Lytechinus pictus: one gene and its partners. The protein of the gene in region 2 purifies or fractionates together with the protein of the main gene of each other region. This does not show direct contact. Links are inferred from orthologs where the notes say so. Each region holds a gene or a part of one and is shown on either strand. Other genes may lie near its edges.

What was found.
Region 1: the proteins of cell division cycle 5-like protein (region 2) and small nuclear ribonucleoprotein Sm D3-like purify together in Homo sapiens (affinity purification with mass spectrometry; 3 studies listed by BioGRID and IntAct, with this or other methods). This does not show direct contact. The link is inferred for Lytechinus pictus from reciprocal best matches to the Homo sapiens genes CDC5L and SNRPD3.
Region 3: the proteins of cell division cycle 5-like protein (region 2) and small nuclear ribonucleoprotein Sm D1-like purify together in Homo sapiens (affinity purification with mass spectrometry; 4 studies listed by BioGRID and IntAct, with this or other methods). This does not show direct contact. The link is inferred for Lytechinus pictus from reciprocal best matches to the Homo sapiens genes CDC5L and SNRPD1.
Region 4: the proteins of cell division cycle 5-like protein (region 2) and splicing factor 3B subunit 1-like purify together in Homo sapiens (affinity purification with mass spectrometry; 5 studies listed by BioGRID and IntAct, with this or other methods). This does not show direct contact. The link is inferred for Lytechinus pictus from reciprocal best matches to the Homo sapiens genes CDC5L and SF3B1.

The regions. Positions count from the first base shown.
Region 1 is NC_087246.1:7,903,248-7,910,807, forward strand, and holds the start of small nuclear ribonucleoprotein Sm D3-like, read left to right. Parts: upstream 1-4,550; 5' UTR 4,551-4,943; coding exon 4,944-5,253; intron 5,254-7,560. UniProt on the Homo sapiens protein: Plays a role in pre-mRNA splicing as a core component of the spliceosomal U1, U2, U4 and U5 small nuclear ribonucleoproteins (snRNPs), the building blocks of the spliceosome.
Region 2 is NC_087248.1:5,493,418-5,500,796, forward strand, and holds the start of cell division cycle 5-like protein, read left to right. Parts: upstream 1-4,356; 5' UTR 4,357-4,506; coding exon 4,507-4,551; exon of another isoform or gene 4,552-4,694; intron 4,695-5,531; coding exon 5,532-5,635; intron 5,636-5,785; coding exon 5,786-5,947; intron 5,948-6,825; coding exon 6,826-6,956; intron 6,957-7,379. Other genes in the region: glutamyl-tRNA(Gln) amidotransferase subunit A, mitochondrial-like, read right to left, coding at 78-174, 845-943, 3,338-3,497, 4,237-4,260.
Region 3 is NC_087246.1:62,605,911-62,613,592, reverse strand, and holds the start of small nuclear ribonucleoprotein Sm D1-like, read right to left. Parts: upstream 3,019-7,682; 5' UTR 2,776-3,018; coding exon 2,762-2,775; intron 1-2,761. Other genes in the region: coiled-coil domain-containing protein 113-like, read right to left, coding at 7,103-7,183. UniProt on the Homo sapiens protein: Plays a role in pre-mRNA splicing as a core component of the spliceosomal U1, U2, U4 and U5 small nuclear ribonucleoproteins (snRNPs), the building blocks of the spliceosome.
Region 4 is NC_087257.1:28,175,199-28,183,129, reverse strand, and holds the start of splicing factor 3B subunit 1-like, read left to right. Parts: upstream 1-4,925; 5' UTR 4,926-4,996; coding exon 4,997-5,027; intron 5,028-7,931. UniProt on the Homo sapiens protein: Component of the 17S U2 SnRNP complex of the spliceosome, a large ribonucleoprotein complex that removes introns from transcribed pre-mRNAs.

The DNA of each region.
Region 1 (7,560 bases), on a different chromosome or scaffold from region 2:
GACGCTCTACCACTGAGCCACCATGACCGGTTGCAATTGTACATGTACAATTCAGATTGTATCTCAATGATTCCAAATATTTTTTCATGAACAGATAAATATGTTTTCATGTATATTGTTTTCAATAGCATTTCAATATCAACATTAACATATCTGAGTTATGCTGGTGAAAACCGGTCATAGAATTGTTCTCATTGGCCCGTATTCTGAACTCTGGTTTAAATTAAACCTTGGTTTAAAGTTGTGGTTTAAATATGGAGAGCCAATTGGGGCACATATCCTTAACAGTACACATCCAATTTATTAACTCATTCGACACTCAAATTGTTCTTAATTGTCTGTTAATGGTAACTGACAGATTTTTCTTCATTATGAAAGCAAAAGGAAACAAAATAGTAAACATAAGAAATATACAATATAAACAGAAATTTTGGCTCCCAATAATTTTAGCACAGAGTTAGACCGTGGTCTAAGTTAAACCCTACTTCAGAATGCGGGCCATTGGGTTTAGGTAATGCAGTTTTAGCTTATTGTAAGTTCTTGATAATTCTTTGCTCTATACCTTACCACAAACCTATTTTTCCCCTTATCTTTAATGTTAATCATGTTTATGAGAGTGTACTACTCTCTGCAGAGTATAAAACATTATATTACCAGAACTTAAGTCTGGTATTGATCCCCTCAAAGTGACATTAGACTATCATCATGATGCATAGAAAGGATCCACTCACAAATGTGAATCACATTAAATCAATTTTGAAATAATCTGTTGACTTGTATGGTGCATAATTTCATATCTAATTGTGCCTGTTATCTGCTTAATAAATAGAGTAGAATTCACTGAACAAAATGCTGAAAATTTCATCAAAATCGGATAACAAATAATAAAGTTATTGAAGTTTAAAGTTTAGCAATATTTTGTGAAAACAGTCATCACGAATATTCATTAGGTGGGCTGATTATGTCGCATCTCCACTTTCCGTTTTCTTATGTTATTACAGAAAATCAAATTTTTTTCATTATTTCATACTTGTGTGAATAATATGTCTCCCTTATAATGAAATAAGTTGCAGCAATAAATATCTAATGCACTAAATCAGTTGTCAATCCAATTTTTCTAGTTCTTGGAGGAAAAAATTTGAATAAATCTAATTTCATATAATAAAATACAAAAGAACAAGTGGGGATGTGCATAGGCGGGGGGGGGGACTTGTCCCCCCCCCCTAAATTTGAGGTGGGGGACGATCCCCCCCCCTAAATTTTGTATCAATAACTTTTTTTTTTTTTTGTGTGTGTTTGTCAAAAAATTTTGATGGTCCCCCCTAAAATTTGGGTGATAACCTTTTTCTTTTTTTTTGGTCGTCCCCCTCAATTTTTTGGGCTTCCGCCGCCAATAGGGATGTGACATCATCAGCCCACCTAATGAATATTCATGACGACTGTTTTCACAAAATATTGCTTAACTTTAAAATTCAATAACTGTTATTTCAAATAACAAAGTTAGTGTTATCCGATTTTGATGAAATTTTCGGCATCTTGCTCAGTGAATTCTACTCTATTTATTAAGCTATAATTACTTTCAGCCCGGACCATCCCTTTAATAGTCATGAGCACTAGCGTACCTACGGGTACGAGCCACCACCCATGCATGTATCCCTGCCCCCCTGACGAGCTTGAAAGACCTTTTTGCCCCCCCTGACGAAAATCCTGGAAAATCCTAGGTACGCCACTGGTCACGAGTCAGTTATACCTAGTTCTTCCAAGGAGGTTTCAATGAGATGGAGTAACAGCAAATAAAATCCCTTTGAACGAGGATAAAAACCGCCACCAGCAAGTATGTCAGGCATGCACTTTGCTCAACATCTCTTGCCCATTGTGTAGACAAATGATTCTCGCATGACTCCACAGCTATAGGTCATATATAAAGGGATACATGCTATATTGTGATGATAATTACTTTTTCGCTGCATCTTGATCTGGTTATATGTGTAGTACGTATTCGGAGGCGTGCGAAAATAAACTGCAATAAATGACTCAAATTTGCTCGACTGGGCATGCACGGGCACTCATCTGGCATATACAATAATGAATAACAATATTCCACTGACCACATTTGAAATTCTCATTCGCCGCAAACGATCGGAAAAGTGTTAAAATCTGTTTTCAGTAAACGTCAAATTCTTACATTTTTCACTAATTAAAGGTTGATTGATATAAGCTGGGCAAATATATCGGCGTAATAGTGCTTGGTTATTGATATTTTGTAATGAGTTCAAATTTCAGTTTGTTTAATAATATGAAAAATGGAAATTGATACAAATGGATATTCGTAAAATTTCACCCCTCTGATTTCTTCGCTGAAACTGGCGGCTTCGAAGGCGGACTCTCAAAAAGGTTCTTATCGACTGCCATTCTTTCTTTTGTGCTTCTTTAGAAATGAATTACAGCTGCTTGAATAAATTTGTTGCCTGTTGGAACTCATCCATGCAGTCATAGAATCTTCTTGGTTCTTCACACTGTCACAATTCATGCCACAATGGAAACCATGGTCTCAATCGCGGAATAATTGTGACTGTGGCAGATCTTGAGGTCGTGGTAATCATGATTTTAGATCAAAAATTTGGACAGCTCAAAAATTTTCCTGGGTCCCGTAACACCAAGGTTAGCGATTAATCGTACGCTTGATTTTCACGATTTAATCTATACTGTAGTCAATGCAATCAATCGTAGAAAAATTATCTAGGATCATTGCTAAACTTTGTGTTACGGGCCCCTGATCAGCGGCTAAGAAAGGCCAATCTCAAAGGATGCACAACAGAATTGAGACAAGTCAGATAGATCATCAAAGTTGGTAGTGATCTGATCCATGATTGTTAACATAATCTTCATAAATTACATGAAATATTGTGGTATTTTAGTCTATTCTCTATTCCACAGGATGCTGTATGATTATGGCAATTAGATTATTTGATAATAAATTAAATAAAGATGCCTGAACTACTTTCCTGGCTTTAGATATTCTTTGTGCATTATTTTGTTTTATGCAAATAGTGAAGGTTAGGAATCTTATTCAGAATGGGATTTTGAATTTGATGAGACTCGGTGGTTATGACGGACCACCATCCGATCCAACAAATTCTAAAACATGAACCATGAGCAAACTTTGTCATTTTATGGTTTTGTTATATTCTCCTTTTATTCCCCCCCCCCCACATTATTTTTTGAACAATATATCCCCCTAAAAAACAAATTTGGAAAGCCAATTCCCTCCTTCATGCCCATACAGGCAAAGAAAACACCTATAATAACTATAATGCTCTTTCTTCAATTAATGAGGGGCACAAAAACTTTGGAACAAGTGGGCTTGCATGTGGAAACAGAAAAATCATATAATGATATCAAAGAAAGTTTGAGAAAATTGGTCAAAAATAAAGAAAAAGCTATGAGCATTTGAATATTGCAATCACTATAATGCTATGGAGATCCTCCAATTGGCAATGCGACAAAGATGTGTGATGTCACATATGAACTATACTTTAATTCCCTTTGATGGACTATGAAATACCCCCAAATATCTCTTTTTGCTCTTTCTCTTTTAAAATCTGTTTTACTTGCCTTGTCATTATGAGATGTGATAAAAGAGGCAGATTAATATACAAAAGTTTATGGGAAAGTTGTTCACACGTACGTGACGTCACCAGCATTATGTTGATAAATTTTTCCACCTCTAGCTATCATACTGGACATCACACATCTTTCTGGCATTCAAGTTCTACATTACAATAATGATCTAAATTCAAATGCTCTTAACTTTCTTATTGTTTATTCAATTTTCTCAAAGTTTCGTTGATCTGTTTTTGTGATTGTTCTGTTCTTACACAAGCTATCATGTTCCAAATGTTCCGTTTTCCTGTATAATCCATGCATGGATGGGTGAATGAATGTGCAGCCTCCCGGCACAGCCTATTTTATGTACCTGCATGATCTAGCTCTTGTAATTGAAAACAGCTTTCAGTCTTTGATTAATTTGGCTGGCAACTATTGTCATGCAGAAAGAACTATATTATGTTCCCCTGGCTTGGAGCTTTTTAAAATGGATTTAAAAGCTTCCTTTATATATCGAGTTATATTTCTCTTTCGATTTCTCCTTCATTTTTGTCTTCTTATATCGAGGTTTTTTACCTGACTGCTAAATAAGCACGAATGCCTGTGAACAAGCAACCAGGGGACCAACGGCTTAAGGTCCTCTCCGAGGGACCTGGTAATGAGGATAAATGCCTTACCAAAGGGCACTAGCGCACCACTTGGGAATCGAACCCGGGTCACCGGAATCCGAAACCCCCGCTCTACCGACTGAGCTATCGCGCCTCCAATATTTTCATATGATTGTTTTTCTTTCATTTTCCCCTATTTTTCTTTTCCATTTTCTTTTATTTTCTCTTCTTTTTCTTTTAATTTATTTCTCTTTCTCCCTTAATTCTTTTTTTTCTATGTCTTTATTGCTATCTTCTAGTCTCGTGTGAACACGTATACTGACTATCGCGATAGTCAGTATAGCGATAGTCACTATAGCGATAGCCCATCAATTTAGAATTGTGTCTATTATTCATTAGATTAAACATACTTATATGATTCCACTGAATATTGATAAACGACGAACCACACAATGTTAAACATAGTTTGGTTTCATTTTATTTTGGCAGTCATCTCTAAATAAAATAGCCCTTTCTCTGAATAGCTCATAGAGTTGGATAGCTCGACAAGCTCAATCTTTATCAATCTTTATCATGATCAAATTGGCAACTTGGCGGTACGTTTGTTTATTATTGTGTTCTCACTTTCACGGTACGGTCGACAGAAAGCAGAATTATTTACACAATCGCTCAAAATCTACGTAATCGAGGTTTATTTTCATCCAGAAATACTTGAAATCGAAATAAAAGATGTCGATCGGTGTACCTATTAAGGTTTTACACGAGGCAGAGGGACATATCATCACTTGTGAGACGAATACAGGTGAAGTCTACCGTGGAAAGCTCATCGAAGCCGAAGACAACATGAACTGCCAAATGATGCACATAACTGTCACTTATCGCGACGGACGAGTCGCACAGCTTGAGCATGTTTATATCAGGGGAAGCAAAATTAGATTTTTCATCTTGCCTGATATGCTGAAGAATGCTCCCATGTTTAAGAAAGCCGGATCTAAGGGATCTGCAGGACGAGGAAAGTCTGCGATTCTGAGAGCCCAGGGTACGTTTTGCAATGTAAAATCAATTGACATTTTTCTGTATGGTGTAACCGGTCAACCCTACCTCAGCTCAGCCAGGCGAGGCGAGGCCGAGGGTACCGTATGGGCACTATGATGGGGTGTCCAAACTTCGCGCACTTTTCAAAAATATTCATCAGGTTTAAATTTTTTCACAAAATATTCATAAATTATACAAAACCAATTAAAAAAATAGTTACCACATTGACGGCAAGATCGTAAACTATAAAATAATGGACGAAAATGTAAAGTAGGTCAAGGGAATTCGCCAGTATCGCGATCTCAAAATTCTATTCTGATCGGCGAATGCGCGCTGTACTGGAAAACGTTCAGAAAAAGTGTGACCTAACTTCGCGGACCAAAGTTTTTGTGGACATTTAAACAAAAACTCAAGCTCAAAAAGTGAAATATTTATATCAGATTGATGGCAAAATGCTATAGAATTGGTTTGTACCACATTTAACTCACATTTTTGATGATTTCTGCTTGCAAAATGGTGATATCGTGATGCTTGTTGAGAATATCAGATTTCTTCAAAAACGGGCGCTAACGGTGACAAATTTGCCGATCTTTTGCCAATATTTTCATGAATACTGAACTCATCCTAAAGAAACTTACACCAAAGGGTAATTTTAGGTCGCTTTTCACGTTGATGATGTCAGATTTTAAGGATATTGGCTAGTTTTTTAGATAATGACCGTCCGCGAAGTATGGACACGCGCGAAGTTTGGACTCACTGCCATACTAGTATTCGACCTGGCATAATTCAAAGATTTGGCCAAATTCCCCCAAATATTTAGAAATAGGGAATTTATCTTAATTTCATACCTTCTTTGTTATTTCAAGGCCAGGGTAATGACTATGTTAATCTGTTTTCGGTATTTTCTTTATCAATCTGTGACTGTGAGTGTAATTCTGTCGATTGTGCGGAGGATCAAATTATGCGGCGATGACCTTTTGGCAATTTTTTTTTTGCACTGAATTGCACTAGTAAGTAGTATTCAACCTAGTGATGATAGATAGTGAATCTCAAAATGGTTTAAATTGCTAAACTAGATCTATGACGTACAGACTAGATGTAGGCCTAACTGTTAACAGTAGAGCCTAGAGGCATGAGAGGCGCACAGCCAATATGGGAGACTCTCTCCAATAGGGGAGACAATCTCCCACATTGGAGACTTGCTTTGCAAAAGGACAAAAGAAACAACACCAACAAAAGCATGATTTTTTCCACCCAAAATTTTGTCTCACTGAGGTCAGAAGCCCATTTGTTTTGTGTGTGATTGACAACAAAAATCCTTTATCAAAACAAAAGTAGACGGTGAATTTTTAAAGTAGACGGTGAAAAGGGGTAATTTTTCATGAGGAATCTGCTTATCACATTTTTATTTGCCGCCAAGTTAATCCTTTTGCAGCAAATGTAAACAAAGGAAATTGGACTCCAAAACTGGAGACTGTCTCTGAAATTGGATACCCAAATTCTTTACAAAAGTCTCTGATATTGGAGATAATCTCCCACATTGGAGACAGTCTCCAATATTGGCCGTGCGCCTCTACTGGTTAAGTCTCTGGCTTTGACTAATTCCCTGTTTGGTCTCATCTCAAATCCATTACACCTATTCGTCATACAACTTGGCCCTTAAGTAAATTTGATTCTTTAAATTATTTTTTTCTTGATTAAAAATAGAGATAAAAAAATGAAAATTTTCTTGCCATATTACTTTCCACCAAAAGAGGGCGTACACAAAAATATGCCCAAAATTCAAGTTTTTGAGTGCTCTAGTAAATACAAAAATTATTCCCAAGTTACTAATGAAAAATAAATTGCAACTGTATGAAAATTAGTAATTTTGGTCACAAAAGTGATATTTTAATGATTTTTTAAAGTGTGTGCTCTGTACAGCATTGGCATGCCATAGTCCTACCTGTAGATTCCACACAGGCAGGATGGTTGCAGTGAACAAGTGGGCAGATCGAGAAACAGGGCCATCTTTCATCGCTAGGTTGAATACTGGTGCCGACGGATTGAATACTAGTGCCAAAAACCATCGACGTATAATTCGATCGCCCGCGTACACAGTCGACGGGTTGAAGAAAAAAATAATGCAAAAAGAATAACCAACATTTGCTCTTGGAAATAAGGCAGGTCTGAAATTAAGGTAAATTCCATATTTCTATAAATTTGAGGAAATTCTCCAAATGGGTTGAATACTAGTGCCCTTACGGTACTCAGACTGTCTCAGTAGAGGCCCACGGCCAGCGGCGTACCTAGGATTTTTCAAAGGGGGGCA
Region 2 (7,379 bases):
TGAAATAACGATACTGTACTCCAATACATTAATTTAGGACAGTAATGATTCTATTATCATGTTATAAAACAGCTTACCCCATGGCAAACTCATCAAGGTTAGTTTTTCCCAGAAGGATAGCACCATGATCCTGAAGTCTTTCTACCACCGTAGCTGTGTATGGTGGCTTATAATCTATAAAGAAAAATAAAGAATCAATGAATCATTGAAAATTGTACTCGGCTTTGATAGGTATTTGACACCATTTGGTTGTTGACCAGTAAAAGGTGATGTCCATCATCCAGAGGGGAATGAGAATGAAATAAATGTAGAAGTGTTATAGCTCAGTGGATAAATCTCTAGATTTTGAACCACAAGGTCCAGGGTTCAATTCCCACCACAGCACTCGCAGCCTTTGCCAAGGCTTTTATCTACATTTGCCACTCTCCACCCAGGTGTAGTAAATGGGAACTCAGTAGGAAGGAATTCCTTGAAGGCCTCAGTGTCAGTATGGAGTGCTTAGAAACATTTGTATTAAGCGTTATATAAATGTATATTATTATTATCATTTATTATGTATGATTTAATTAGCTATGATCTAAAACACTGTCCTCTAAACTAGTAGCTAACCTGGCCAGAAATGCCAAAAGCTGAATTCCCAGAATTTCTATGGTGTAAAAGCTTCTTAGCTGTACATCCAATAAGAAGCTCTCATTACATGCTTTTCACATACATGTATAGTCAAGGGTAAGAAAATGAATACCGGTAATCCTCTTCCTATGCAAACTTATCGTACATCTAAAAAGTGCTGAAAAGTAATGCAAACCATACTATCAGAAGACACAACTACACAAAGTTTACTTACTCTCTAACATTTTTGAGCCACAAGTTGTTCTAAGCCCTGTTGTGCTGTAGTTGTCCTTGATAGTTATAGGTATCCCACCTAAACAACCTACAGATGCACCTGATAAATGACAAATTGGATCATTGATTCATTTAGTGTCACTCTTTGAAACATAATTGAAATTCTAGAATATAAACTGGCCAGCAAAAGAAAGTACCCACTTCTATCAAAGGCTGCACACAAAAATTCACCCCATAGAAATAAACAATTTTGTACACAGGTATGCTGCAATATCCATTAGTAATCACATACCCAACAGGAAGTGATTATCTTTATTACAAAGAAATAAAATGACATGTACAGCATCTTGGTCACTGAATCAAAAGTCACAAAATGTAACAGAATGAGCCGTCCATTCACTTTGACATATTGGTTGTTAAAAGATGTTGTCCATTCAGTGGCCATTTTTGCTTGGTGGAAAGTGCTTTTGTGTGGGACTTTTGATTCAGAGACAAAGATGCTATGCATGCCAAGTTCTTCTTTGTTATGAAGATATTCAATTGCTTATGTACATGTGATTAGTAATGGGTATTGTAGCACACCTGTGTACAAAAATTGTTTATATTTATGTCGTAAATTTTTGTGTGCGGCCTTTGACAGGGGTGGGTACTTTCTTTTGCTGTCCAGTTTAGTATCAATATACTTATTAAATCCAAGAAGAATCATATAGCAACCTTTACTTGTCAAATCTGATTACCAGGCATAAACTCGCTAACCTGAACATCTATGTAAGAATAATGCATTTAATGAAATTTAAGCCTTTTAGGGTAAATTAAGAAGAAAATATATGGAGGGTGAAGGGATTTGGAAAAGGGAGAATAGTGTGGATTAAAATAATAGTGGGTTACAGCTGAAATCTGGGGAAAAAATAGGGCAAAAATACTCAAAGCTGTAACATAAAAAAAGTTCTGGATAAGACCGTAAATAACCTTTAATTACTTCATGAAAATCTTTATAATAAAAAGTTTGGTAAAAGAAAAAAATAAAGCTTGCACAATTCTACACCTTCATCATTTTCCCTATCTTCATCAGATGTAAACATAGGTGAATCTAACAACGTAGAGTTTATGATACTCTAATACTTTACTTCTACAATTTGGATGAACATATTCAATTAATAGAAATGTGTTTCAATATATGTGACATTCAAAATATGAATTTTCAAAACATGGTATGTTATTGAAAATGCACAATATAATATTTCCTTCAGGAAACATAATGTAAACTAAATTGTAAGCAATATGCATAATAAAATATTTACCATGATCAAATATGAATCCAACTTGTTTTTAATAATAGCCAACTTCATATGGAAACACAGTAAACAAAAACTGGATAAAATGAAAGATTACAGTATTAGGACTTTATCTTCTTTAAAAAAATGAGCAATTTGCTTTCTATGTTAGCAATTTGTATTTGGAATAAAATTCCCTTTCAAGTAAACTCCTGTTTAGTCAATTACATGTTGTATGAAAAAAAGCATTGAAAAAACATTCACCTCAATAAGTTATAGTTAATTTTTCATCTTCAGAAGATGTAAACATAGTTAAATCTGAACCAAGATATTATGAAAGTTTAAAACTGAGTAACACTAATACACACAAAAAATTTAAATATTTTAATCTTGCATGAATCTGAATCATCCAAGAACTTCAGGAGAGATAACACATCATGCTTTGAAAATTAATATTTTCCACATGTTATTTGTTGACCTTTATCTATCATCTGATTCTGTGTTATTCTCATTACAGTATCTCATTGTTTTTCTGATTTGACTAATTTGATATCTTATGAAGATGAAAAATAAAATGAAATATTGAAAAATTGACTACACAGAATGTCTGGCCAATTCAGATTCAATCAAATTTCTATAAACCAAATTGAAAAGAGAGACACAGATGCTTATCAACAAAAAATGTTGAAAACCTGAAATTTCATGGCATCATTTGTTATCTAAACACTGACAAACACAACGATGGAATCTTTGCTTGGAACATGAATCATATTGTGCATAGTGCTCTAAGCAAGATTGGAATATTTACTATAATTTACCATGAATTTTAACTTTAAAAAATCTAAACAATTGAACACTGAATGGAAGAATGAAAAATTTATTGACCATTAAGAAAATGAGAAATCTGCTTTCCATAATTGAAATTTGTATTTGGAATAAAAAAAAAAACCTTCACATAATCAGCAGTCTCTTATGAATTAAAAGTTGTGTGAAAGAAAATATAAAAAAAAGATTGACAAAATCTACCTAGATTGTAACATAAATTTTTCCACCAAAAATATTTTCATCTTCTGAAGATGTAAACATAGTCAAATCTGAAAAGATAGAGATTATGATAGTTTAAATGAATAACACAAATAAACTAGATTCATATAAAAAAAATTCAATCTTAGCCATTGGAAAATTTAAGACTAACACTGTAACAGTAAAAGTGAAACTACCTTTATTTATTTTGTCTTGGACTTTCTTTGCATCTTCCAGTCCTTGATCAAAGCACTCTGTTACAATAGCATTCAGCTCTTTACAGCGCCTTGCCCTCTCTGCACATCTGGAACAGAGCTCAGTGACCGAAAGCCGACCATCACGTAAGCGAAGAGCAATCTGCAATGATGGAAATTTAAAAAAATGAAACTTTGATTTGAAAAATAAACTTTTCATGCTTCAATCTACATGTATATTTACATCTGGAAAATAATATTAATAAAGTTAAGTCTTAAGGCTATAGTATATCTATGTTCCGCAACTTTGACTTTGAGTGGATTATGTCAAGAACAAAATTATCAAATAAATCAAGTGATCACCCATCAGGCGATTATTAGCCCCTCAAGGCTCAAGCTCAACTAACTTATAGTATACCCAGAAAATAGTTTTTAAACAGGTAAGGAAATAATTTAGATCCCAAATTGTTTGGCATTTATGTAGATCTTATTCTAATTTTTAGTTAGAAATTATGGAATTAACCGAACACACATCAACTTAATTAAGTCTTAACCACATGTATGTATGGTGATATAGATCTAGGCCATAGACTATAGTGACTGATAGATTTGCATACTGATCTATGATATGCCGCCCCCACCCTTTCCCCTCGATCACATGCTGCAGTCCCAGGCCCAAACTTGCCAAAGTCAACAAATTCACGAGTGAAGAGTAATCAATATTGCAATAACATAAGCTCTCACAATTTTTTGAGTTTGTGGGACTGAGGTGAACAAAATAATTCCCTGTAAATTAAAAAAAAAAAAGTCAATTTAAACATTTACTTCAGAGAAATACATACTACTTTTACATGAACAAAGAGCCGAACAAAAGATATAACAGAAACATAAATTATATTTACCTCACGAATAGATAAACCGAACATTTTTCGTAAATCTAACTGTTATTGGAAAAGTCGCAGCGCACTCAACTGTCGCGAGAGAAAACGTAGATTTTTGTCCAGTCGTTTTATCAATTATCTTTAAAATGCGCGGCGCAAAAGTACGTGCATTCTCTCTTTCTTTTCCGGTTAGCGCCTAGCGCATAGCTAGGAGAATAAACTACAACTCGTTGCGTGATATTCTCCCTTTTCACTTCTCAAACCTGAATTTTGACAAGAAAGACTGTGAAAATGCCACGAATCCAGATTAAAGGAGGTGTTTGGAGGAACACTGAAGTAAATATTTATGTTTTAGTCTTATTCTCCCTTAAAAATATGTTAGTTTGAGTTAAAATCCATCAGAAATTTCAGTTAAATCGGCGATCTTTGCAAAAAAAACTTGCATGTTTTGCAGTGTATGACGTGCTTTTTGAGTGTGTATTGTGCATTTTAGGGTAGTGTGAGAAAGAAAATTCAAAATTGAAGGTGTTGAAGGATCAGAAATTCAGAATTAAGGAAAAAGAAATGGTTTTAACTTTTATTGTGGCAAGTTTAACACCCATCATTAATGGCATGCCTCATTAATTTAAGTTAAATTAATTTATTTCAGTCATCAGTCACTATCACTCAGTCATTTTGATTCGAAGTGGAGACCGTCCCGATGCCAGGACGTTACTGGGCCAGGGCCAGGCCCTTGGCCTTCATAAAAAATGGCCAACAGAGAATTTAAAAACAAGGGCCATCAAATTGAAATACATTATATGAACATATTTTTTTTTAATGCACCAAGTATAGAAGACATCACGTCGAGACGGGAGATCTTATGGGACACTCTTTATTTTTTTTACGGAGATTACGGAAAAGAATCCGTGTAACTTTTAGAATATTTTGTCTAGCTACAAATAGGTCAGTTTTACCCCTAATTCATCATAAAATTTAATTTGTTTATTGGGGTAAAAATGTTTTAAACAAAAGGATTTAAGGCGTTTTAAAACAAAAAAACTTTAATGTTATAATACAACCCTGTTTTAAAGATTAAATGACCTCAGTCCTCCTCAGTCCACATGTCTGCTGCTTGTGAGGCTTGACTTACTCTTCTGGTGAGAATTTATTCATGGATTTTAAGTACATTTAAGTGCAGGTAATCAATGTATATCCACATGGATTAAGATGTATTTCGATATAAATTAGAAATATTTATTAGTATGATTTCATAATTGAACTTTGAAGGGTTTTATTTTTCAATAACCTATTATCCTATTTCTTTTGTGCATTAGGATGAAATCCTCAAGGCAGCTGTGATGAAATATGGCAAAAACCAGTGGTCTAGAATTGCTTCACTGTTACACAGGAAATCAGCTAAACAATGCAAAGCAAGATGGTAAGTTACATCAATTTATCATGGGGATGTAGTGTTTTCTTAAAACTGTCCATATGGAAGGTATTCCTAATTCCTTATCAAATGTGTAGATATTTCATTTGCTTGTGCGTTGAAATTAGAATTCAGCTTTTCTCTTGTTCTTCATCTTAGGTTTGAATGGCTGGATCCGAGTATCAAGAAAACAGAATGGAGTCGAGAGGAAGATGAGAAGCTCCTACACCTGGCTAAGCTCATGCCTACCCAATGGAGGACCATTGCACCCATTGTGGGACGTACTGCAGCACAGTGTCTGGAAAGATATGAAATCTTACTGTAAGTTACGATCTCACTCTTCAGTGAGATTTTAAATCTAATTTATAGGCCTTTGGAGTTTGAAATGGTTATCAAATTGTAATTCTTGTGCTCTGATTACTTCTGTATTGTGCAGTTTTGTTCACAATTGCTCTGCCAAGCAATGAGATTCAATTTGTCGTAACTCATTTATGAATGTATCATTATCTATTGCAAACCTATTGATGTATTGGCTTTGGTATCTATATCATCACTTATACATGTTTAAGTGTCTCTGAATACATAACAGTTATGTATTCAGAGATTTGAGGAACACATGCGTAACAAACCAATCATACAGCATGTATTTCGCATTGAAATTGAGACACAGAGGCCATACTGTTTGCTTGCTTGGTTGTAATAGATATAACATTAACTTTTGATGGAAAATGAATGAGTATTGATATCAAACTATGATTTAGGCTCGTACCTTTGTTTTAATAAAGCAACAGCCTTTGTGGAGTTGTCATGTTCAAGTGGTCAAAGGAACCCTATTACACATGAAGGTACAGGGTTCAAAACCTGACCACAGCACATGTGCCTCTGAGCAAGGCAATTTATTGTCACTGCCCTGTCATGTCTTATGAATGGCTACTTTAAAGGTTCGTCCAAGATAAAATAATCCTGTACGATACACATCTGTAAAATCAAAAGTCTCATGAATACAGATGAAAGTCTTGACTTCAAGTTTGAGAGCACACATGGGAAATTTACTTCCTAATATTACCTTTTTAGATAGATACATGTATGAAATATAGTATTTTAGAAAGATGTTTTTAACCTTGAGTAACTAGTTTCTTTTAGAACTAAGTTCTTGAACAGTTTTACATTTGAGATGTTGGTATCATTTTGATGACCAGTGATCAAGCGCAGAAGAAGGAAGGTGATGGGGATACGATGGATGATCCAAGGAAGCTGAAACCAGGAGAGATTGATCCTAATCCAGAGACTAAACCAGCTAGACCTGATCCTATTGATATGGATGAAGATGGTAAGGAATGAAACGATTAAAAATCATCTCCTGAAACAAACTAAAATAATGATATTCCATTCTTGTACATTAATAGGGCATTTCACATTATCATGTAACAACTCATGTGCTTTCAAAAGACTTGATATTATTACTCTGGTTTTAGCCTGCATACTTTTATAGCACACAAACATTTCTAGGAATAAATTCCTGACAGATGATCATTAACCTCACCTGGTTCAAAATAGACCTTATACAAATATGATACTAGACAAGCCTAAGGAGATGAGGAAAATTGAACTTATCATTAAATGAGATGAGATAAATGTTAATCTGAGATAGAAATAACTCGTACTATCCACATTGATATATGCAAATTTAGCTAATAACATAAAAAAAAAAACAAGATATCAAATGGTGAAGATCTTGCCTGCTTTGGTAAAC
Region 3 (7,682 bases), on a different chromosome or scaffold from region 2:
CAATCATTGTGCTTGAAAACGGGTTTCCCCGAATTCCCGCCCTTGGAATGACTGTGTACCATGTGCGTGACCTGTTAACCTGTTGTATGAATGCGAATCAGCTGGTTTCGTGACCTCAAATATTCTTCATGTTGTTTACGCTGGATGGGGGCTATAAAAAGATCTTTCTGACTCTTTTTTTTTTTCAATTTTAATAATCTGTTCGTGAATTTCTGTAACATAACTGATGCAATTTATTGAATCACGTACCTCGATCTTCCCACTCATGATGAAAGAAAATATTTAAAAAATTTAAAATCGCCAAAATATACATGTAAAGAAAGATTATTCAGCCGTCATCATCAGTAGTAGTATAGACATGTCTATAAATATGCATTCGCTTCGAATATTGACTTCTTCACCAATCCCACACACACGCACGATCTCAACATCCCCTTGTCATTGTCCACGCCACGACCCCTCCCCTTTCGCGCTCCCCCTTCGACCATCCTAGCTACAACCCTCCCCCCCCCTCTTCCTCTCTTTCACACACGCTGTATTTGTAGGCCTACATAGTGCATTATTTAAAAATACAAATCTGCTTTCCTGTCAATTAAGCTTTACTTTCAAAACATTTTAAATCACAATTAATTATAATAAGAACAAAATCGTAATATTAAAGTATGATGAATGACTAAAAATATTTCTCCCGCTCGTGATGGACACATTCATTATTTTATAGGCGAGTATAGAACAATACAAATGAACATATAGGAATAATTGACAGTGAGTATAAATCTACTTTCCTGTCAATTAAGCTTTACTTTTAAAACATTTTAAATCGCAATTAATTATAATAAGAACAAAATCGTAATATTAAAGTATGATGAATGACTAAAAATATTTCTCCCGCTCGTGATGGACACATTCATTATTTTATAGGCGAGTATAGAACAATACAAATGAACATAGCAATAATTGACAGTGATAAACGAATCTTGATTGGATATTATTAGTATAAACATCATCAGCAGAAGTCTTAATTATGAGAGTCATAGTTTCAGTGAGTATCTGAAAACAAAACAAACATGCAAATTATATCGTCTCATGAATACCGATGCCCATTATTTGGAAGCCTCGGAAGTTTTCTTCCGAGGCTTCCAAACAAAGTCGGAACAATCTTTGGATTGAGTAAGGGCGTGGCGCGGCGCGCATGCGGTCCGTAGATGTAGTCGGTCATTGACACGCATTCACAAAATGAATCGCACTTTCTAAGGACGTAGCGATCTAGACATTGGAAAGTATGGAGTACGTTATCGATGTCATTGATGTGAATAAATCTATAAACTGTAAGTATAAAATGAGATTGAATTTAAATCTTTTCTTTTGACCTTTTTCATCAGTACTTGCCTTTCTGCTTCAATCGATCGCAATTCGCGCAACCGTTACGGCTGTGTGGCCGGAGAAGCATTAAATAGACATCAAATGTGGTGCATTTAGCAGCAATCTAAGCTCGTCGATATTGATATTTTCGATAGCTACCGCGCTCCGCGCGGGAGGGGGGACACCCCCCTCCCGCGACCCTCCCCCCCCGTGTAGTAGTAATAGTAGCTGCGCGGCTTGCGTATCATCGCTTCGCGCCGCCAAGCGTCAGAATGAACCTGGCGAGAACGTTGACCTTACGTTAGTAAATGATTTTTACTCTCAAAAAAGAAGCCGCCTGGCTACGTGCACCTCTAAGTCTAACTATTAGTATTACTGTATTAATTTATTATCAGTATCATTAATGATCAGCAGTAGAGGCGCACGGCCAATATGGGAGACTCTCTCCAATAGGGGAGACAATCTCCCACATTGGAGACTTGCTTTGCAAAAGGACAAAAGAAACAACACCAACAAAAGCATGATTTTTTCCACCCAAAATTTTGTCTCACTGAGGTCAGAAGCCCATTTGTTTTGTGTGTGATTGACAACAAAAATCCTTATCAAAACAAAAGTAGATGGTGAATTTTTAAAGTAGACGGTGAAAAGGGGTAATTTCTCATGAGGAATCTGCTTATCACATTTTTATTTGCCGCCAAGGTAATCCTTTTGCAGCAAATGTAAACAAAGGAAATTGGTCTCCAAAACTGGAGACTGTCTCTGAAATTGGATACCCAAATTCTTTACAAAAGTCTCTGATATTGGAGATAATCTCCCACATTGGAGACAGTCTCCAATATTGGCCGTGCGCCTCTACTGATCAGAATCGCAATGCATTATTATGGGATCGCAAAGGGGGCCGTTGCTCTCCAGCCCCCTTTCCGATCCCATTATGCATTGCGGTTCTGATAAGCGATAAACCATATTCGGAAACACTAGTCTACAGACGGTGCAGCCGTTTTGTCGTGACACAATTGTGACAAGTCGATATTAATCATATTAAAATATTATTATTAATAAAACATTGTAAAATATCGACAATAACGTTCGATGACACTTCATGAAACATCCTGGTATCTATCAGTAGATCTACATTTATTCCAAATTATACCAATATTGTACAAATATTCATCACTACTGACAAGGGCGAGCCCCGGTATTTAGCTTGCTAAAATGCAAGGGCTTCCATCCAACCTATCTTCACTACTTCAGTCCCACTCGTTCATTTTCATGGGTGTCATATAAACCGACATGTAATGTGAAAATAAACCATAAACCATACAAGTAAGATTAAGACTTTCATGATGCAGGTCAAATAGATCCATCAATTAATAATTATTGAATAAAAATTGATAATTACCTGACTAGCTTCATGATGATGTCGGATTGCGATCAGCATCCGACGATAAAAATTGGACGTTCAATCGACGCGCGTGTACCAAAACAATGGACTGTGGCTGACGCAGATGGCAGCAAACCAAGTCATGCATGCAGATGTCGCGCCCGCCGCGCCAGCGTCAATTTAGCCAAGTTAAAATTGCCCCAAGAAAAATCATTTCACTGGCATTTCCCGGTGGCATTTACTTGGAAGTGAATTACCGCTGACAGCCTGATCACGATTTAAAACTCCTGTTATGAAACAGGAACGGAAACTTAACATTTAAATTTTGATAGATTTAGCTATTTAGAATCTAATGATGTTATCTTTATTGCATTTATTTTTTCCATTTCCTTCAATAAAGTAATGATCTAGGAGCTAGGAGTTAACACTTGATCAAGGGAGGGGGAGTACTGCCCTTTAAAAATGGGATAAGATTGAAACCTTTGTGTTATGTTCTTTTTTATTGATGTATAGTATAGTGTTTGTAAATATATTTGGCGAGAGGGGGGGAAGGGGTGCAAGGGTGGATATTGGCTTAAGGTTTTACTTATATTCATTCTTCGAACGGATTTTTATCTCAAAGAATCAGAATATAATTTGTTTTACCTGATCCAAGACAAAGCCCCCACTTAATAGGGAGAGGATTGCATTTGATGGGACAGTGCCGCTGGTAACGAAGCCAAATAAAGAATTGAAAAAACTTTCAGAAAAATATGTATATAATTATCTGAATTAAAGAAATAAAGAAGGGACATGGAAACAAGAAATTAAGAGACAGAGACCGAAGGGAAAAGGGTAGGTGGGGGAGAAGGCACTGCAAAAGAGAGAATCCATGCATCCCCATCTTTCTCTCTCCCCAACTCTCTCTCTCCCTCTGTCCCTTCCCTTTCTATTTGAATTACTCTCACTCGTTTACACTTTATATTCTTTTCCAAAGGAGAATATTTGACTAGTCACATGACACATGTCATCTCTCTTCCATGCTCTTGTCTTTCTCCCGGGCTTTCTCCCTTTCTTTTTCTTTTCCCCATTACTTTTAGAAGTCACAGGGGCAGACACTCCTTGTAGCACTGTCCCTGCTACTGATCGAATATACAGCATCTCATTCAATTTAGTTTGTCAACTTCAAACATTCATTTTTTTTCATTCTCATTTTATCTTGTTCCTTGTTTTTTTTTTTTTTTTTTGGGGGGGGGGTGGGGGAGGGTAGTCTCTGAAATAGAAATAAGCAGTTTCTCTTGTCAGTTAACAAATATTTTATTTTCAGTAAACAGTATATCGAGTAAGAAACAATAATATAAAGATTTTTAAATCTGAAATATCTAAATAATACTTAGTTGCTTTTTATCTATGTTTTATGTTATCTCTATGAGTGGAAATAACTTGAAATTTAAATCTAAAATAAGGCGAAACATACATTGAATAGTATAAACAAAGGAGGTAATGCATATTTTCATTTATAATTTATATACACATGTTCTCATCTGTAGTGTAGGCACATTATCAAAATGCCACAAATGATCAATAATTCATAGAACATTATTTTATATATAATATATATAAATACTGGTTTTGCAACAATTTTTCTTCTTCAAAATAAACATTTACTCACAATATGTTGGAAATGATGATCTAATCAAGGTGATCTTTCTCTTTAAAAGTCAAGTCCAACCCAAGAAGTAAACAAAAACACTAAAAATTGTAGTAGAGAAGGATAAAAACAAGCATAATGTTCAAAATTTCACACGTGTTGTGCACATCAACTACTTTGAGAAAATAAGCGAAACTTTGAAAGGTTATATCCTTATTTCGACACCCAATTCTTCATAAAAAATTCTGATGAAATTTCCAGCATTATACTTGCTTGTTTTTTTTTTCCTTTTTTTAAAATCAATTTCTAGTTGAGGAGGACTTGACCTTTCAGAAGATTGATTTTGGACGGAGTATTTTATGACTCTTTCAACATGTGAGTCGATGCACGAAGTAATGGACAAGTCTAATTCCAAATGCTTACTTTCCCCAAAATATAAATATTTTCATAAAATGTAAATTGAAGTTGCATCAGAATCTACAATCATCGAAAATATGTTGCAATACATGTATAGCAGGGATGTACTTGTATCATGAATGAAAAAAATAAGAGAATTAAAATGCAATTAGCAGATATTATGAGCATCATAAATGCATATGCATTTTATTATTTCTGAATTATTGTTATATTGCTGGTTCACCATCATTTATTATATGTTAGGAACATCACAGACGTGGTCGTTATTTCAATAATATGGAGTAGTACTTTTCTCTTTCAGATGAATGCTAAAGGCATTTTCATGAAAGTCAGACCTGCACCTTTCACACAGGAGTGCTGCAAGCTTCTTTTCATTGCTGATCATCACATTCATAATACACAATATAAACCTTACGTGTGTCTTTCATTGAATAACAAAAACATTTCATACTTCTGTGCTTCTTTCTACATTTGTTTTCATCACAGTGAATTTCTGCTCTCTACTTCAAATGAATATACAATGAATAAAGTTTACAGAGAGGGAAAACATCATGGCTATGCTGCCGTACTTTGGCAAAATTAAGCAAGTTACAAAAGTATCATTTGGTGTAAATGAGCAATGTGTATTAGTCATTTACATAGGCGTCAATGCAATTTAACAGCATGTTTTCTTCAATATTTTTCCATAGAACGATAATTTCTTCCCCATATTTTGCCTGAACGTGCAACATACAAAGGGTGTTTCAGAAACAACAATAACTCAAATTTGACTGATGTGTCACTTGCTTCCTTTTGCCAAAGTTGGTCAGTACAGCTCGATCAATCGAGATAATGAAAGCTATTGGAAATTGAAGATGTTTCCCTTCCATCTTTAATACTGGAATGACAACCTGGTTGCCTTGCTGTAATGCACAGAAAAGTATTATTGTTTCTGTTTTCATAGTCACTGATAGATACTGAGGGAATTCATGCACATATCAAAATCCACTGTTTATGAATCCAGATCATTGTATAAAAAACAATGGAAACTCTTTATACACATGTACATGTTTTTGCAGTTCTAGATCTGGGGTGGTATTCTGGAACCATGTCATAAATTTTGTAATTTCTCTCCTGAGATGTGACACCGCTATGATTGTCACAAATCGGTATTCTGAACATTGTCCTTCCTCTGTCATTTTTCTCCCATATTCCCGCCCATCTTTTCGGAAGCAAACCAATCAAAATCACTGTTAGTTCCGAGTGGGAGCCCTTCTAACCAACAGGAAGGCCCGGTGGCACATCCTTGATATATAGCTGGCATCGCGTGACTGCGCGTATATTGACACGCTTAATTACAAATAAAAACAGGGAGCTGTGAAGGATTATTAGAAGAGAGATTTTTTAAAAAGAGGAAAACATAAAAAAGGAGGAATTAATATGTAGGGCCCAACTACTTGTAACATGAAAAAACATTTTTGAAAATAGTCATGGATGACGAGTGGAACTAAAACAACAATCCAACCTAAATATTTAGTCGGCAGGTTATCGGGATATTATGGTACCAAACGAAATCACAAAATTAATGACTACTAGGCTTTGTCATAAATGTTGTCATATCTTTTGCTTGTATATTGGGATTATGCGCATTCATGAACTGTGTATTTTTTTAGCGTGATAAAGAGAAGATGTAAAATTCAAGACAGTTTTAATGACAAAAGTTATGACATCCACCTGAATACAGATTCTGTCATATCTCTGAGAAAAGACAATGTTTAGAATACCCTCGGCCCCTAGCCTACAATGATGAACAATATAAATCTATTATATATACTATACATATTTTCACATTATTGTTCTTGTCCCCAATGAAGGATATAAACTTGTGGTACAGGTACAATTCATGCTGCAATAAGTATCAAGTCCAGGGTCCCGTAACACAAAGGTTAGCGATTAATTTTCACGATTGATTGTACATTGTAGTCAATGCAATCAATCGTAGAAAAATGTTCTACGATCATTGCTAACCTTGTGTTACGGGCCCCAGGTGAGCATTTCATGAAGCAAATAGTTATCATCACTGACTAATTTTTTATTTTTTCCTGAAATCCTTTCATCTGATTGGCTCAGAAAAATTTAGTCAGTGAAAATCACCGAGTACTTGCTTTATGAAACACTCCCCAGTTCCCAATTTGCGTCAACTGTCACACCTTGAATAGGAAAAGCGAAGCCAAGAACCAGGTATTAATTCCTCTGATCCTACCAGTTTAAAAGCATACAGGGGCATGTCATTATTCTAACAATAGTTCATAGGTTAGGGAATTGGAACAGATTTATGCAATGACACCCCACTGCTGGTGTTCACTGGACATTCTCATCTGTTGCCACGTCTTTCGATGCGTCTTCAAGGCCATCTACAAATAAAAGAAGGAAAGGACATATAGGAATAAAGAAAAGGTTCTATTAAAACAAATTTACATTAACCAATTGGGGCATTCCTGTTTCTAAATTGTATCACTTCATCTTGTAAACATCTATTTATTTTTTTTATCATGCAATACTTGAGCGGAATATTATTATCATATACTTTTTTTTATTATCAACCTGTAGTTCAATGTAGAAAGCAAAAAAATAAAAAAAGAAAAGATGGAAACAGATTGGAAAAAATTATGTTTTGTTCCATCAAGTTGAACATTCCTATTAAAAACTGTGATGAAAAGTTATCATCAGCCAATTGAGATCCAGTTGAAACTGTAAAAAAAAATGTCCCTCGACTAATGAAACTACACTCTATTCAAAGAAAAAAAATAACTAACATATCAAACACATAAAAATGTTTCGCAATTGGGTGCTGTTCAAAAAGCACCAATTTGCATCAGGCAAATAAATTTTCAATTTTTCTCGACATACTTC
Region 4 (7,931 bases), on a different chromosome or scaffold from region 2:
TGGGTTCTATAACGGGCCCCTATATGGACCCTTCCTGCATTAGGCTTTACGTTGAAGCACTGGCGTACCGGGGGGTGGTTCCACAGCCAAGGGGAAATAAAAGAAAATAAAGGAGGCAGCAAAATGAGATGAATGAAAAAAAATATATGACATGATATTTGCTATAATGATGTAAAAATCTATCACATAATTAGAATTTCGTTTTAACAGGCCATTTTTTTTCTGGCTCGCTTCGCTCGCCAGCGACTTTTTACAAATTTTCCCACATTTGCTATGGTGTGCCCCTCACAATATTTGGATGATTACGATACACACTTGAATTTATGTGTTGTGTTAAAGCTATATAAATATACACGCAATTTGATTAAATTAAGTGGCCATCTGTAAGGTTTAAAATGGCTTTGATATCAAGAGGTTCCGGGGCTCTGCCCTGGACCCCACCCATAAAGCACTGTTATATGGATGAGTTTGGACCATGGCCCCCAAAAGTTCTACAACCAAACAAAAAAAAATGAGGAAAGAAAGGAAAGTGTATTATATTTTTCTGAATATCACGTTAAAATCTATCTTCATGTTAGATTCTCATGAAAGGTGATTTTTTTATCTCGCTCGCTTCGCTCGCTCGGGACCTATGTTAAGCTACTTCTTGCCAGAAGCGCCATACTCGGCCCCCTCGAGCATGTAGAGCTTCGCCCTGATGCTCACAATCATAACAAAAATCCTGTTCACCGTGGCGTACAAAAAAGAGAGAAAAGGAAAAGAGAGGGTGAAATATGATATCATCTTTTTAACATTATGTAAAAATCTATCACAAAATTGGATTTTTGCAATAAAAATGTCAAAATATTTTTGCTCGCTCGCTTCGCTCGCTCGCTTTTATTTATATGTATATTTGCCCGATACGCCATATCGCCCCCTCAAATTTTTTGCCTTATGACGCCATTGCCTGTTCCATGATATGACCGGGAAATTTTTGGCTCTTGCCCCCCCCCCCCCCTGGCCACCGACCCCTGTTACGCCGCTGAGAATGAGTACCTTACTTAACAATTAATGCGAGTGCAGAACACGAGCCAAAGATCTGTGATATTCCAATCTGAAAACTGGAAATCATAAACATTTTTGTAACCATGAACAGGATTACTAGTATTAATACCATACTAAACAATAATTGATGCGAGTGCGATCCCAAATTTTTGATTTACTAACTTAAAATGTATTATGTTTTACTATAAATTCTATTTAAAAAAGGTATTTCTTTTCAATGTTTTTGAAAATGGGCACATTTCATTTGGAAAAAAGGGAATTTCTCGATTTAGAAAAGGGGCCTTTTTTCCTACATGGAACTTTTCAGGGGGGGGGGCAAGAGATCACAAAGCGCAAGTTGAAAATTTCAGATGCTGACCTGAAAATTAGTCAGTTTTAGGACTCTTGTCAGTTTTCATGTTTTTTTCTGCTTACAACCACTTTAAAATTTCAATTATCATTTTTTGTATCTTCTACTGTTTTTTTTTACCTAAAAAACCGGAATAAAGAATACTACCAAATTAAAGACCAAAGAAAATAATACGAGGAAAATCCTAATGGAATAGAAATCAACCTTGTTATCATTCTTCAGAATTAGCTATAAAAATTGTATGAAAATTGTTGTCAAAATTGCAGTCAGATCTGTCAGAATTCTTCCTGACATCAAATCACTATAATCTTTATCATAATCATTATTACGATAATTATCATCATTATTAGTAATATTGTCATTATCATCATTAGTCAAGATTACAACACATAATTTTTTTTTCATCACTGCTGTTTTCTTTGTAATATAATGTGTTGATGATTCTTGATAATTGTAAAAATATATTGATGGCACTGCTAGTACACTTACTACCGCTGCTGCTACTGCTATTGTTGACTGGTAGAATTGACCATTAGTGTCATTAAATATACAGAAAATTTTAAGCATTTATAATTACTTATATAAAAACAAATAAAAGTACAAATTACAAAATGCCTTGAAAATGCCTTGAAATTTCAAGGCTCAAAATCCTCAAGGCCAAGGTCAAGGCCCTCTCAAGGCTAAGGCTTGAATGTTCAAGGCCGAGGCTTTGAAAAAGTAGGCCTTAAGGCCAAGGCCAAGCATCATGACACTACAACACTGTGTGATAGCAAAAAAAATTTTTTTGCATACGCTGTTAGAAAAACAGAAGATTTTACATAAGAAAAAATAAAAACAGATTTTACAAAAAGAAGTAACCAATAATTGTTAAAACAGGAAAGATTTTATACAATTTTTATAGAATTTTTCAGAACAGGTCTGTTTTAAAAAGGGGGAAAACAGTTTTATTACAATAAATTTGTAAGGTTACATACACCAATATCTATTTTCTGTAATTTTACACAAAATGCATGTAATATTACACAGTGCAGTAACATACAGGTGTTCTCGAGACTCTGCTGCAGGAATTTTTGTTTTTTTTAAGTAGAAATTTTCTAACAGTGTAGACTTCAAAGCCGGATAGTTTAAGCACCATTTAATAATCATGAACAAGATATGGATTTCATTAAACACTATAATGCACGCGCGAAGCGCGAACAAAAATTCTAAATAGTGACCTGAACAAAAAAAATTATAATTCTTCCCCCATTCTTATTATACCCCGCTTCAGAACCCCTGAAGCTTGTGGGATTTCATGGATTTTTCAAACACCCCTCGTCAGCCTGTTCTGTATTTTTACAGCCTTTTCAGGATAGAATATGCTACACTGTAAAAAAAAAAATAAGTCAGGCATTCTTTATTTTCTCCATTAATAGTGCCCGTAAAATAAGAAATGCATTTTGAGACTATTTCTTGTCAACAACTAGTTGAATCTTTATAAAAGTGCTTATACGAGCTTGAATCCGCTTGAATCGGATTGGATGCTCAGATGCATCATAATTATGTTGAAGGGGAGCTCTCATTAGCTAGTCTTAAGATATACGTTTTGAGATAACAATTACCAATATATAGGCTTACAGAGAATAACCTAACCTATACTTAAAGTGATTGTTTAACATTGGTTTGACTTTTAAAAAATCTGAGCTAGAAGGTCACACTTAATTCTCACCTGTGTCTGTGATATGTTACAAAAATGAAGCCCAGAAAAAATTGCGTTCGAAAATAATTATTTAGTGCTACATAAATTTAAATATAAAGTGACCGAAAAAAACCATCTTAATTTCATCCCATACACTTATGTGTACTATTTAGGCGTCTATAAGACGCCTATTTACAAAATCGGGGTTTGCCTTGTAGTTTTAGCTTTTCATTCTCAATAATGGTTGTTTTCAGGGTTTATTAGTTCTAATACATGCACTTGTACACATGTTTCATCTTGGTTTGAGAATTTTTTAAATCGGCTGCTCACAATTAAAGTTTTTATTTTTTATTTTATTTATTTATTTACCACTTGTGGGATGGAACACCCTATCAGCAAGTGCTGTTTTTCGTAGGGGTCCATACACACAACAATAAAAAATGTACAATATACAATCAACCATGGTAATGACAAAAGCACAAACACAAAGTTAAACAATACCTTTAAAGGGAAAATAAACTGCTTTTGAGAGGAACGTACATGTTCTGCTACTTATATAGCATAATCACTGCGGTATTGTGAACGTATATATCGAGTATATTGAATTAGCATTCCGGGATTAGCATATCGTTCAAGTCGGTCTATATTACAAGACTACACTGCTCAGAATGTTGCATTATGGGTTACCTGTTGAGGTTTGAGTAGAGCGAGCTAAGGCTTGAGGTGATCAATTCATTAAGGCTTAGCTGTTACAGTGCTATAGTAGAATTTGATCTACTTTAAAGGTGAATGAAACCTTTGGAGCAAGTAGGCTTGTGTCGAAACAGAAAAATCAAAGAATAAGAACAAAGAAAGTTTGAGAAAAATCTGACAAATAATGAGAAAGTTATTGCAATCACTAATGCTATGGAGAACCTCCCATTGGCAATGCTACAAGGATGTGTGATGTCACGGAACAACTTTCCCTTTGATGGACTATAAAATACCCCCAAAATGTCTCTTTTTTTAATTTTCTTATGGTGATACAAACTCTTTATCCATGATGTATTCTTTAAAAATATGTATTATATGCCCTCCCATAGAAAGAATATATGCTCTACTGATAGATGTGAAAAAAGAGGCAGTTTTAGTGAAATGTATATGGGGAGAGTTGTTCACAAGTGACATCACACATCTTTGTCGCATTGCCAATGTGAGGATATCCATGTCATTAGTGATCGCAATATTCAATGACGCTCATAACTTTCTCATTATTTGTCCGATTTTTCTCAAACTTTTGTTGATCTGTTTCTTTGATTTGTCTGTTTTCACACAAGCTATCTTGTTCCAAATGTTTCATTTTCCTTTAAATACTAGTACACGATAGTCGACCTAAAAAAAACTATGCCCACCTCTCACTTTCTTGTCTCCCCTTCCTCTCCTGGCTTTTCTGAATTTTCTTTTCTTTTCCCTTAATTCTCTTCTCTTCTCTAATTCTCTTCTCTTCTCTCCTCTCCTCTCGATCCTCTTTTCTTCTCTTCCGGCTTCTCTTCTCTTCTCTTCTCTTCTCCTCTCTTCTCTTCTCTTCTCTTCTCTTCTCCCCAGTAAGCGCCCCCACCTCGATCTTAGTCTGCTATGCAGACTCTGAATGGCTGGTGAGGTGGGATCGCGCGCTGCTGCTGGTTTGCGCGAAGCAAGCAAACCAGCCTGAAATGGCGAGCGAAGCGAGCCAGCCACAGTAGACCTAGTCTGCTATGCAGACTCGTTGAATCAGGTGTGGTACACACACTGCAGATGTGGGTCTTCATTTGTAGACTACCTCGATCCTGCCGAGCCCTCAGCTCCGTCACGTCACGAGCAAAGGTCGCACGGCGCGTTCGTAAGCTAGCTTGACGAGCGCGTTCACGCGCGCACGGAAATCGTGTAGGTCCAATTTAGCATCAAACATGGCGGCCGCAGAGTATGCAACGCGTGAAGGTATGACTCTTGAAATGTTTCTTGTTTGGTGCCATGATTCACTCTATTGATACAAATTTGAAAGAAGAATGATCATAGATTTTGAGACCACAATTTTGAATGTTTAAAAATATGTTTTACTTGTCTGTTTATGTTGTATTATCAGTGTTGTTGACGACGAGAGTTGGGTGATTATTTTTTTTATTTTGTCATTTGTGTTGACTGATTCGTGTGGTGTCATATACGGTATGGCCTATGTATGGGTACACACTGGTACATGGCCTGTGTGATATGATGGGGGGGGGGGGGGGAAGCTACGCACTTTGTTTTCAAACGATAAAAACTATGCCAATTTTAATATTTGAACAAATTATATTTCACTAATTTGTGGCAAACATTCTAAAGATCATTAATAAACAAGAATAAAAATTTGCAAAACTCACGTAATACGAAAATCCCGCTGTCAGCCTGTCTGTCATGTCAATCATGTCAATGGCAATGCCAATGGCTGTTTTTTTCAGAATGTAGAAGAGGTCCTAAAGCTAGTGTCTGAAGCCACACTGAAAAGTGTCAGCATAAAACAGGCTGATTTAGGGGAAAATATGGCACATTTTTCGGGGAAGTTCAGGCTACTAGAAAAATGTGATCTGAATTGATTATTATTATTAACTTGTGTTTGGCATGTATGGAAAGAGAAAATTGAGGGGCTTCTTTTGACAGTAAGGACAAGTTTATATGATCATTTTAAATAAGGAATTAGAGATAAATTGCAAAACCTTATTTTTGTGTGTGTTGAGATTGCCATTTCTCCATGCGTTTTCCAGAGCTTCCAAGTCTCCCGGATCCTGCGGGAGAATACTGGATTTCGATCCAATCTCCCGTTCTCCCGACCCCATGCCAAAATCTCCCGGATAATTGTGATTTTTAGCTGTTAAATTGTAAAATTCATACAAACGACTGTTTTACGAGTCTAGCATGTTCAACTCCCTTTAGTTTTACACCCACGTGGAAACTCCTTATCACATTTTCATTTTACCCAGTTACTTTTACCAGTTTTTGTATAATCGTACATTGATTTCCAATGTAAATGAAGATAATTTTACCGAACGACTGGTGAATTAGTCTAACAAGCAATTTTTTTTTCTGGTTCTGCAATGTGCATGTGCATGATGGAAACACTTTAGCGGCACTCCATGCCTATGCCCCCCGACGCGCCCCGGCGCGGCACTGCCTGGTCTCCGGCAGGAGGCTATGCGAAAAGGGAAGTCCGATGTATTTTTCGGAAGCTTGTGTGCGCTTTATTCGAGCTGAAACTGTGGATCAACGATGGGTTACTATTATAATTACACCCTGACTTTTAGGAATAATTTTATTGACAATCCTGAAGAACAGAAGCAAAGTGGAGATTTTTTTTGCCTACTTTTACTTGGGTTGATCGGATTCGAACATTTTCTCTTTCGTGAGTGAGCTAGCCTGGCGCTGGCTGGCTGTGCGTGCTTGCTACAAAAAGGCAATTTTCACAGGAATCCCTCGGCCCTCAGACTTTAAAACAGGCCACATATAAGTCTTTACAGGGCCAGGCAAGCTCATCTTCCACTACTGCAGCCCTTTTCCCCTCTGGACAATAAAGGTATTTTCTTGTTGAACGCATTCTTTTGTGAATCATTTTATGTTCTACTGTATTGCCTGAAATCAGGCTTGAACTTATTTTTTTAGTCAATGACAGACAATTCATCATTTCATGAAATCTCTCTAATGTGCATTTAATCTATGTGCCAAAAGTTTTGATGGTTTAGACAGCTGTCGGATACTATCAAATGTTGTTTCTTAATGAGTTTTGCTACCCAAAACTCCCGTCCGTGGGACATTTCGCCGCGCGCTCCCTCACAAAATCATACCTCCGCGAAATCTTCTGGATTCTATCATCCCAATGTTGGCAGCTCTGGTTTTCTATGGGAAAATGAAATTTCTGTTTTAACTTTGTCGCAATTTTTCATTGTGATCTGGTTTCCAAATCTTTATAAAAATCATACCATCAGATAGAGCATAAAAAATCCTATTGGACTCTTTAAGGACAAGTTTTTGGCATTAATAATAAATTAATAACATCTCGGAAGCTAAAAATTTGGATTTGTGTGTGTCCATTTCTTAACTACACAGTCTATGGCAGAGAAATGCTGAAAATTGACCTAATTTCATTCTTCTTTTTTTGCAGCCAATAATTTGATTTTTTTCAAAAATGTTACATTTCTGTCAGTCTGAAGGTCATTTCTCTTCAAATTCGCAAAGAAAATGTGATATTTTCTTGAAATAAGAAAAATAATTTTTTTCTCCAGACACCCAAGCTACGCACTCGATTTATCATGCAAAAAATATTATTTCCTGTGTCTCAATTTCTAAAACATTATTATAGGATAAAATGACATTAAAGTGAGTATAACTCCAAAATTCCAAACAGTTCTTGGTTTTCTCTGCATTTAGAGATTTACTGCAGCCTCTGTTGAAAAAAAATTGTTCGTCACCCTGCAGTCAGTTCCACACGCAGAGTGCGCATTTGCCAAACTGCATGTGCGATGAGTGGTGTGTAGCTTTAGGACCCCCTACTACCATACTATTGATTGTCAATGTTGATCATTTGGCCATTTTTCATTTTTGAATGTTGATTGTGTCGAGTAGACGCCGCGCCTTGGCCAATGCCAGCCCAGGCTGCCCAGCTGTAAACCAGGGAGCTGCGGCCCAGTTTGCAGGCCGGAGCCCAGGTCCAGGACTCGTCCGTGCATAGTTGGCAGACATATTATGGGGTTGCATGATAAGTTGTAGTTGGGTATGCAAAAAGGGTGGCAGATGAACAATTTTCCACATGGTGCCATTGATAAATTGTTGCTACATCACAGTATCTTGATCAAATTTATTGAGTAAGATCTC